Linked DNA regions of Xenopus tropicalis. The protein of the gene in region 3 binds, or shares a complex with, the protein of the main gene of each other region. Links are inferred from orthologs where the notes say so. Each region holds a gene or a part of one and is shown on either strand. Other genes may lie near its edges.

The links. Proteins that work in one complex are often made in the same cells at the same time.
Region 1: the proteins of pdzk1 (region 3) and slc15a2 are in contact, whole or in part, in a crystal structure (PDB 6EZI), measured with the Homo sapiens proteins. The link is inferred for Xenopus tropicalis from reciprocal best matches to the Homo sapiens genes PDZK1 and SLC15A2. Residues at the interface, in NP_001188254.1 of Homo sapiens: Asn386, Gly387, Tyr388, Gly389, Phe390, His391, Leu392, Asn393, Ala394, Ile395, Arg396, Gln407, Tyr436, Glu437, Val440, Ile443, Gln444; in NP_066568.3 of Homo sapiens: Glu723, Thr724, Lys725, Lys726, Thr727, Lys728, Leu729.
Region 2: the proteins of pdzk1 (region 3) and akap10 are in contact, whole or in part, in a crystal structure (PDB 3TMH), measured with the Homo sapiens proteins. The link is inferred for Xenopus tropicalis from reciprocal best matches to the Homo sapiens genes PDZK1 and AKAP10. Residues at the interface, in NP_001188254.1 of Homo sapiens: Asn386, Gly387, Tyr388, Gly389, Phe390, His391, Leu392, Asn393, Ala394, Ile395, Arg396, Phe402, Lys404, Tyr436, Glu437, Val440, Ile443, Gln444; in NP_009133.2 of Homo sapiens: Pro655, Leu656, Glu657, Lys658, Ser659, Thr660, Lys661, Leu662.

The regions. Positions count from the first base shown.
Region 1 is NC_030685.2:88,685,674-88,689,173, forward strand, and holds part of slc15a2 (solute carrier family 15 member 2), read left to right. Parts: intron 1-1,432; coding exon 1,433-1,567; intron 1,568-1,713; coding exon 1,714-1,869; intron 1,870-2,105; coding exon 2,106-2,152; intron 2,153-3,500. UniProt on the Homo sapiens protein: Proton-coupled amino-acid transporter that transports oligopeptides of 2 to 4 amino acids with a preference for dipeptides. Transports neutral and anionic dipeptides with a proton to peptide stoichiometry of 2:1 or 3:1.
Region 2 is NC_030678.2:30,346,033-30,349,532, reverse strand, and holds part of akap10 (A-kinase anchor protein 10, mitochondrial), read left to right. Parts: intron 1-2,246; coding exon 2,247-2,291; intron 2,292-2,550; coding exon 2,551-2,739; intron 2,740-3,383; coding exon 3,384-3,500. UniProt on the Homo sapiens protein: Differentially targeted protein that binds to type I and II regulatory subunits of protein kinase A and anchors them to the mitochondria or the plasma membrane.
Region 3 is NC_030678.2:8,070,598-8,074,097, forward strand, and holds part of pdzk1 (Na(+)/H(+) exchange regulatory cofactor NHE-RF3), read left to right. Parts: coding exon 1-102; intron 103-765; coding exon 766-1,053; intron 1,054-1,224; coding exon 1,225-1,527; intron 1,528-3,500. UniProt on the Homo sapiens protein: A scaffold protein that connects plasma membrane proteins and regulatory components, regulating their surface expression in epithelial cells apical domains.

The DNA.
Region 1 (3,500 bases), on a different chromosome or scaffold from region 3:
GTAAGCATGGGTGTGTTCATGGGTAAGCATGGGTGTATCCATTAGAAAGCATGGGTGTGTTCATGGGTAAGCATGGGTGTATCCATTAGAAAGCATGGGTGTGTTTATGGGTAAGCATGGGTGTATCCATTAGAAAGCATGGGTGTGTTTATGGGTAAGCATGGGTGTATCCATTAGAAAGCATGGGTGTGTTCATGGGTAAGCATGGGTGTATCTATTAGAAAGCATGGGTGTGTTCATGGGTAAGCATGGGTGTATCCATTAGAAAGCATGGGTGTCATGGGTTGGGTGTGTTCATGGGTAAGCATGGGTTATCTATTGAAAAGCATGGTGTGTATCATGGGTAAGAAAGCATGGATGTGTATGGGTGGGTGTATATTGGGTAAGCATGGGTGTATCTATTAGAAAGCATGGTGTGTTATGGTAAGCATGGGTTTGTATCTATTTAGAAAGCATGGGTGTGTCATTGGGTATGGGTAAGCATGGGTGTATCTATTAGAAAGCATGGGTGTGTTTATGGGTAAGCATGGGTGTATCTATTAGAAAGCATGGGTGTGTTCATGGGTAAGCATGGGTGTATCTATTAGAAAGCATGGGTGTGTTTATGGGTAAGCATGGGTGTATCTATTAGAAAGCATGGGTGTGTTTATGGGTAAGCATGGGTGTGTTCATGGGTAAGCATGGGTGTATCTATTGGAAAGCATGGGTGTATCTAAGCATGGGTGTGTTTATGGGTAAGCATGGTGTGTCATGGGTAAGCATGGGTATCTATTAGAAAGCATGGGTAAGTGTTTTTATGGGTAAGCATGGGTGTACCATTAGAAAGCATGGTGTGTTCATGGGTAGCATGCATGGCATATCATGGGTGATCCATTAGAGAGCATGTGGTGTGTTTATGGTAAGCATGGGTGTATCCATCCATTAGAGAGCATGGGTGTGTTTACGGGTAAGCATGGGTGTGTTTACGGGTAAGCATGGGTGTGTTTATGGGTAAGCATGGGTGTGTTCATGGGTAACACATGGGTGTATCCATTAGAGAGCATGGGTGTGTTTACGGGTAAGCATGGGTGTGTTTATGGGTAAGCATGGGTGTATCCATTAGAGAGCATGGGTGTGTTCATAAGTAAGTATGGGTGTGTTCATGGGTAAGCATGGGTGTATCCATTAGAGAGCATGGGTGTGTTCATAAGTAAGTATGGGTGTGTTCATGGGTAAGCATGGGTGTATCCGTATGGTTACTATTCAAGAGCATCACTGATTGGTCGGTGGGTAGGCTTCAGCGAGTCTATGGGTAGTTATGTGTCTTTACATGGGCATCGGTGGGTGTGAATTAGCCAGTGCCAGCTGGAAACCAGTATATTTAGGGCACATCATTGTTGTGGGCAGCTATGCCAGGGCTCATATTTACCCAGCGTCTGTTCCCCACATGCAGGAAACTCTGCCCCCGGTGCCCAAAGCCCAGGTGAGTTACCTGCAGGTTCTAAATCTCGCTGGTGGTGACGTTGATGTCGACATCCCAGGGTTTGAGATCATCAAACAGCCCAGCCTGTACGGTGCCAATGCGTTGGTAAGTACCGCCCCCTGCTGGGCAAATGCCCGACCCTTGGGGTTCTGGGTGCATAGGGCATAGGGCAGATATTACTGCTTTGCACATCAGTTAGACTGCAGGCCGGGACTGACACATAACGTTTCCCTCCTGTTGTCTCCGCACAGGATCCAGACTACGTGAAACTGGAACTCACCACCGCACACAATAACTTTGATGCCAAACTGACAGTCGGAGCAGTAACCGCAGACTGCCCCATCCACATCCAAGAGAAAAGCAGCTACAGCCTCCTTGTCTACGGCGACAACCTGAACTGCGATCTGGTCAGTAGGGGGGATACCCCACTGTATCTACTATGGGTCGGCGGTGCCAGTACCAACTACTACTGTCATTTCCTCCCTTCCAATAAGCAGTGAAACAGCAAAGGCTTCGCCCGACTGTAACCGTTATCCCCCCTACTACTACCTGCTCTGTTACCTTCACATTCATTGGCCACTTTCCCTGTGGCTACAAAGTCTCTCTCTAGAAAAGAACCTTTATCATTTTATTTTATTTTTAGATTGAAGAATCCCAAACCAAACCAGCAAATGGCCTGGCAGCGGTCAGGTGAGACTCCTTTAATTACAACATGGGGACAGTAGGACAAGATGGAGACAGTAGGGCAAGATGGGGACAGTAGGGCAAGATGGAGACAGTAGGGCAAGATGGGGACAGTAGGACAAGATGGAGACAGTAGGGGGCAAGATGGGGACAGTAGGGCAAGATGGAGACAGTAGGGCAAGATGGGGACAGTAGGGCAAGATGGAGACAGTAGGGCAAGATGGAGACAGTAGGGCAAGATGGAGACAGTAGGGCAAGATGGAGACAGTAGGGCAAGATGGAGACAGTAGGGCAAGATGGAGACAGTAGGGCAAGATGGAGACAGTAGGGCAAGATGGAGACAGTAGGGCAAGATGGGGACAGTAGGACAAGATGGAGACAGTAGGACAAGATGGAGACAGTAGGGCAAGATGGAGGACAGTAGGGCAAGATGGAGACAGTAGGACAAGATGGAGACAGTAGGGCAAGATGGAGACAGTAGGGCAAGATGGAGACAGTAGGGCAAGATGGAGACAGTAGGGCAAGATGGAGGACAGTGGGTACAAGATGGGACAGTAGGGCAAGATGGAGACAGTAGGCAAGATGGGGACAGTAGGGCAAGATGGAGACAGTAGGGCAAGATGGAGACAGTAGGCAAGATGGGGACAGTAGGGACAAGATGGGGACAGTAGGGCAAGATGGAGACAGTAGGCAAGATGCAGGGGACAGTAGGACAAGATGGGGACAGTAGGGCAAGATGGAGACAGTAAGGGGGACAAGTGGAGACGAGTAGGGCAAGATGGGACAGTAGACAAGATGGGGACAGTAGGCAAGATGGAGACAGTAGGGCAAATGGGGACAGTAGGGCAAAGCAGGAGACAGGTAGGGCAAGATGGGACAGTAGCAAGATGGAGACAGTAGGGCAAGATGAAGGGGACAGTAGGGCAAATGGAGTATAGTAGGCAGATGAGACAGTAGGACAAGATGGAGACGTTAGGCACAGATGGAGACAGTAGGGCAAGATAGGGACAGTAGTAGGGCAAGATGGGCGACAGACCAGATGGGAGTAGGGCAAGATGAGACAGTAGGGCAAGATGGAGACGTAGGCAAGTAGAGACAGTAGGGCAAGATGGAGACAGGTAGGCAAGTGAGACAGTAGGCAAGATGAGACAGTAGCGCAAGATGGAGACAGTAGGGCAAGATGGGCGACAGTAGGATGAGACAGTAGGGCATGGAGACAGTAGGGCCAAGAGGGAGACAGTAGGCAAGATGGGACAGTAGGCAAGATGGGACAGTAGGACAACGATTGGGGACAGTAGGGCAAGATTGAGACAGTAGGGCAAGATGGGGACAAGTAGGACAAGGATGGGGGCCA
Region 2 (3,500 bases), about 22 Mb from region 3:
CAGTGCTGTCCAACTTCTACGGTGCCGAGGGCCGGAATTTCTCTAGCATACATGGTGGAGGGCCGCTAATGGAAGCCAGTTTTGACCACTCCCCTTTTTGAAACCACACCCACTTCAAACCACACCTATTTTATCACAATGGTGGTAGCACAGCAAAATCCCAAATGCTTGGTCCTTACTGTGGGGAGATCAACCATCATTCATATGTGAAAGAATTATGTCATATTAAGATATACCCTTAAATTCCATATGCCTCCTGCTCCCCTGTGGATAGCAGAGCAACCCCCAGTACATAATTACACACCTTTGGGACCATTTAATGGCTATTTCCAACTGCTAACAAACTCCCACAACAAACCCCTGCCAGGTTTACCTCCCACAAGCAGCATAGGGCAAGCAGAGTATGGCACACACAGGCAGCACTCTCTGCCTGTCCTATGCTGTCTGTGTGTGCCATACTCTGCCTGCCCTACCCTGCCTGTGTGTGCCATACTCTGCCTTCCCTATGCTGCCTCTGTGTGCCATACTCTGCCTGCCCTACCCTGCCTGTGTGTGCCATACTCTGCCTTCCCTATGCTGCCTCTGTGTGCCATACTCTGCCTGCCCTACCCTGCCTGTGTGTGCCATACTCTGCCTGCCCTACCCTGACTGTGTGTGCCATACTCTGCCTCCCCTACCCTTCCTGTGTGTGCCATACTCTGCCTGCCCTACCCTGACTGTGTGTGCCATACTCTGCCTGCCCTACCCTGACTGTGTGTGCCATACTCTGCCTGCCCTACCCTGACACTGTGTGCCATACTCTGCCTGCCCTACCCTGACTGTGTGTGCCATACTCTGCCTGCCCTACCCTTCCTGTGTGTGCCATACTCTGCCTGCCCTACCCTGACTGTGTGTGCCATACTCTGCCTGCCCTACCCTTCCTGTGTGTGCCATACTCTGCCTGCCCTATGCTGGCTGTATGTGCCATACTCTGCCTACAGTACCTATGTCTGAGGTGTGAAGAAGTGAACAATGGGAGTGATTACAGTCTGAGTCTGAGGTGTGGACACTGCAGGGGGTGAACAATGCAGAAACTAAAAGGTGTGAAAAACACAGGGGATTACATATTTAAACAATACAGAGGGATTACAGCCTGAATCTGAGGTGAGAACCATGCAGGGGGGGCTGTTAATCTCAGAACTGATACCATTTAATGCTTACTCAAAGGTAAGCCATCAAAGCAGCCAGACAGGTGGGGGGCCACACAGAGGGGGGTCGCGGGCCGCATGCGGCCCGCGGGCCGCCAGTTGGACAGCACTGCTCTATATTATCTATGGCAAAGTATTTTGTGGAGTTTAGTAGTTGTAAAAAAAGGAGCTGCTACTAGTAATTCAGTGTGTCTTCACCCTAAGGGCTCTGGCACACGGGGAGATTAGTCCCCCGCGACAAATCTCCCCAGAATGCCATCCCACCGGCGAAAATGTAAATCTCCGGTGGGATGGCATATGCGGCCATTGAGAGGAAACTCCCGCGATTTCGGGGAAATTGCGGCACCGCGTATGCCATCCCACCGGCGATTTACATGTTCGCCGCCGAGATGGCATTTCGGGGAGATTTGTCACGGGTGACTTATCTCCCCGTGTGCCAGAGCCCTAAGGGTAAAGACACACGGAGCTACTAGCAGCAGCTACTTATCATGGCTACAAAGATAGACAATGCTGATCATTTATTTACTGATAATTGTCTCTATATGTGTATTTTAGAAGAGGCATCTCTCAGTATTGTCTATGGCAGGGTATTTTTTTGGTGTTTAGTGACTGTGACAAGTATCTCTGTGTGTCTTGATTCTTATGTTTGGATATTCCCTGTTTGTATTATTGTAAAGCACTCCCTAACGTGCTAGTACTATATAAATAAAAGGAATGTAATTAGGATATGAATAAAGAATGACAGATGTCAGAGTGCTTCACTGAATGTTTATAACCAAGCAATAAATGGAAGCACTGCATATACCGTGTTCACCTGTAAAATAAAGTAAATTGAGGTTTAACTCATCAATGCCTCTTCTACAAGATTGGATATATGGGATTGACAAGCTCAGTTTGGTGAAGACCAGGTCATTTTAATTGTGTGAGGGGGGGGATGCCTTGTTAGAAGCACAAAAGTACTCTTAGCATCACTGGGGGTGGGGGTGGGGTCTGAACATCTGAATAGGTTTTGTAGTATTTTATCACAGATATTAATGAATATATTTTTTTTCTTTCTAGGCAAAGGAAAAGATCAAGATAAGCCAGATGTAAAGATATTTAGAGGTAAAAGAATTAAGCGTTAGCACTAAGAATCTATGTAGCGTTACCTTTGCAGGAAGCTATTTTGAAGATGATTCATTTTTTTAATTAAACTAAATTGCAAATATTATTTAAATGACTATCTATTTATATTTCCAAACCCCTTTAATAATAATGCATTGTAGAGCTCCAGCTGACTGGACCAACATACTAACAAAACAAGTCTTATTTATGATTGTAATGGTGGTTGATTTATATGTTCTGATGATTATTCTTTGAATAGCTCAAGCACCGGCATCAGTACATTCCCCTTCAAGAAGTCCGAAAAACAATGCTTTGTTGGAGGCTGCGGGACCCAGCTATGTGGCTATCAATGCCATCTCAGCTAACATGGACTCCTATTCAAGTAGCAGAACTGCAGCCCTCAAGAAGCACCCGATGCACATGGAAGCAACACATTTTGGAGATCTTGGTAAGATATGCTAACAACTGAGTACCCCATTTAAAACAGTTGTGCTGGTTTGCTTACATTTGTATATACAAACAAGTACATGGGCTTTTGCAGCAGCCGGAGGTCATGTACATGGGGCAGTTGGTGAGAGCCAGAGAGCAATTGCATGGGGCCATTAGCGAGAGCCAGAGGTAGAGTACATGGGGTCATTGTTTTGTCAAGGCGTACTTAACAGGACCATTGGAAAAGCCTTTGAAAACCAGACAGCAACTGTGAAAGGTCTGTAGGTAGCAAAAACTAACTTAAGGCCAATAATACTAGTCATTAGGCGGAGTCATACCACCTCACCGGTCTGCACCAGTGTAATACATTCATATGGCCTTTGTGCTAATGACTGGATCAGTCTGATTTACCACACCAGCTCATTTGTTGTATGACCTTATTAATTAGATGAAGTATGAATGAAGTAGGTTTTAGTGTGTTTGATAACTCAAGGTACTCTGCTAGTAGGACTTACTGAGCATTACAAAGTATTGTAATTTAGTGTTACATCTAAATGAAGCGGCGCTGTACCATAATGCCTTATGTGGGATTTGGTTGTGTTTATTAGGGAGGATAAAGGACTTGTAAGCCAATGACCATTGTAATTTTTTGTTGATACATAGGTCGATCGTGTCTGAAGTATGAGGCCCAAGAGACAAAGTCCAGCCTTTCAAAATCACTGGATCAGGTGCTACAAGATAATGTGGCTCTCCCATATTTTATCCAGTTTATGGAACTCA
Region 3 (3,500 bases):
GAGGCGAAGGATCACGAGGAGGTGGTGAAGGTGATTCAGAAAGGAGGAGACAAGACCACTTTGCTGATTGCGGATAAAAAGACTGATGAAATGTATTCCCTGGTGAGGAACCAACTGCCAACAGGGTGCCCTGTGTCCTGCACCCCCAAACCTTTCTAATGTCTACTTGTATTTTGTAGATATTCTCTGTAGCTCCCAAGGTTTATGAAGCCTATTGCTTGATTTTCAATCGGTCTTCATTTTTTATTATTTGTAGTATTTTTAGTTACTTCACTTTTTGTTCAGCATCTCTCTAGTTTGAAGTTTATGCAGCTATCTGGTTGCAAGGAACCAAATTACCTTAGCAACCAGGGAGTGGTTTGAATGAGAGACTGATATATGAACAGGAGAGGGTCGAAGTTGAACAATAAGGTATAAAAAGTAACAATAACAATTAAATTGGAGCCTCACAGAGCAATAGGTTTTGGCTGCCGGGGTCAGTGACCCCCATTTGAAAGCTGGAAAGAGGCAGAAGAAGGATAATAATTAAAAAACTGTAAATAATAAAGACTAATAGAAAAGTTGTTCAGGATTGGCCATTCTATAACATACAAAAGTTAACACCCCATTTGAGCAAAGGTCTTCTCATTATGAGAGAACTACAGGAGATCTATAATATTCCTTTATGGCCCATAATTCCTGCCTAGACTATAATGTGAGATCTCACTGAAGCCACCAAAACCCCCTTCTGAGGGTGTCTCCTAATCACTATATTTGCACTTTCAGGCCGGTGTCTCACCCTATTTATATTTACAAGAAACCCAAGGGGAAATTAAGAGCAGCTCTAAAGAAGAGGCCACTCCAGCTCCGGCAGTAGTTCCATCGCAGACTCCGACACCAACTGTCGCCCCAGCCCAACCTTCTGCCGTGGAGCCGAAAAAACCTGAAACACCGGCTGCTCCGACTGGCGGCCAAAAGCACAAGCCCAGGCTGTGTAAGCTGCAGAAGGGTAACAATGGGTATGGCTTCCACCTCAATGCCATCAAGGATACCCCGGGCCTGTTCATGAACCAGGTATGGTGCCCATTGTGACTAGAGCTATAGTCCATAAAATACAAGCAACATAGTTACATGGTGCAAACCCCCTGCCATCTAGTCAACCAACTGAAGGACTAAGCAATTCTATTTATGTTGAGTAGTTAGAACAAGAACTTGTGTCAGTACTAACATCCGGTCCATTGACAGGTACTAAAGGGAGGTTCGGCAGATGTGGCTGGGATAAAAAATGACGATGTTCTGGTGGAGGTCAATGGAGTAAATATGGAGAAGGAGAGCTATGAAGACGTCTTGATTAAAATCAAGGAAACAAAGGGGATCCTGACTTTGTTGGTGGCATCACAGGAAGCCTATGACTACTTCAAGGGGCAGAAGATCCCAATAACTGCCTCCTTGGCAGATCCAGTAAGTGAGGTTTCTCCCAGCTCCAGTGCGGCTGCCCCGGCAAGCACAGCAAGCAAGGCAAGAGCTGCTCCTGAGCCAGCAGAAGTGGTGAGTAGGAATTATGTCTGAGAAGGTACTTCTAACATTGCTATTATTGGAGATGTAATGGAAGGCTATTTCCCTTAATGCTACCACACTTGTCCAAGTGAATCCATTGGGAAGCTTAGGGGCAAGAGATACTGTAGGTCAGTGCTGTCCAACTGGCGGCCCCCTCTGTGTGGCCCCCCACCTGTCTGGCTGCTATGATGGCTTACCTTTGAGTAAGCATTAAATGGTATCAGTACTGTGATTAACTGACCCCCTGCATGGTTCTCACCTCAGATTCAGGCTGTAATCCCTCTGTATTGTTTAAATATGTAATCCCCTGTGTTTTTCACACCTTTTAATCTCTGCATTGTTCCCCCCCTGCAGTGTTCACACCTCAGGCTCAGGCTGTAATCACTCCCATTGTTCACTTCTTCACACCTCAGACATAGGTACTGTAGGCAGAGTATGGCACATACAGCCAGCATAGGGCAGGTAGAGTATGGCACACACAGGCAGCATAGGTCAGGGAGGGTATGGCACACACAGGAAGGGTAGGGCAGGCAGAGTATGGCACACAGAGGCAGCATAGGGCAGGCAGAGTATGGCACACACAGGCAGGTTAGGGAAGGCAGAGTATGGCACACACAGTCAGGGTAGGGCAGGCAGAGTATGGCACACACAGTCAGGGTAGGGCAGGCAGAGTATGGCACACACAGTCAGGGTAGGGCAGGCAGAGTATGACACACAGAGGCAGCATAGGGAAGGCAGAGTATGGCACACAGAGGCAGCATAGGGAAGGCAGAGTATGGCACACACAGGCAGAGTAGGACAGGCAGAGTATGGCACACACAGACAGCATAGGACAGGCAGAGTGCTGCCTGTGTGTGCCATACTCTGCCTACCCTATGCTGCTTGTGGGAGGTGAACCTGGCAGGGGTTTGTTGTGGGAGTTTGTTAGCAGTTGGAAATAGCCATTAAATGGTCCCTAAGGTGTGTAATTATGTACTGGGGGTTGCTCTGCTATCCACAGGGGAGGAGGAGGAGGCATATGGAATTTAAGGGTATATCTTAATATTACATAATTCTTTCACATATGAATGATGGTTGATATCCCCACAGTAAGGACCAATCATTTGGGATTTTGCTGTGCTACCACCATTGTGATAAAATAGGTGTGGTTTGAAGTGGGTGTGGTTTCAAAAATGGGAGTGGTCAAAACTGGCTTCCATTAGCGGCCCTCCACCATGTATGCTAGAGAAATTCCGGCCCTCGGCACCGTAGAAGTTGGACAGCACTGCTGTAGGTGATGCAAACAAAATGTCACTAGGGGGGTCCCAGTTTTCAAAGAAGCACCTGAACTTCTAAGTGTCTTATTTAATGGCACATCCACAACAAGGGGCTGCAATTCCCAGCATGAAATGCTTCCCTAATGGCTCTCATTGAACGAGAGGTTGGTATGAGGGGGATAAAAGAAGATGGAAAAAAAGAAAAATGGTGGTGACTCGGTGTCGGACTGGGACCCCAGGGACCCACCAGAAAACCTTAGACTATAGGCCCACTCTCCAAACTATTTTTCCTCCCTTTCCTCAACCAACCTCTTTATTCTCATAGTTTATTTTATATACATGCTAGCATCTATTCTTCCATCAATTTCTCCCCTTTGTTCCCATTTAGAAATAGGGAATGACCATGCAACTGGCCAAACTGTTAGAAGCAAGAGGGCCCACTAACACCTAGGCCCATCGGGAGTTTTCCTGGTATCCTGGTGGGCCAGTCTGACACTGTGGTGACTGTACAGTGGAGCTCAATATAAACTAATTTGGGTAACAAATTGGCACATTGCATCTGACATTGCACTTTGCACACTGGGCTTGCAGTCGTAAATGACCCTTGGTGACTAGGTGTGGCTGAATGTGCCAATAAAGTGTGGCTGGGTTTGACTGTGTGGGAGTGTGTACCTGAGTTGGAGAGTCTTTGACTGAGTGTAAAGGTCC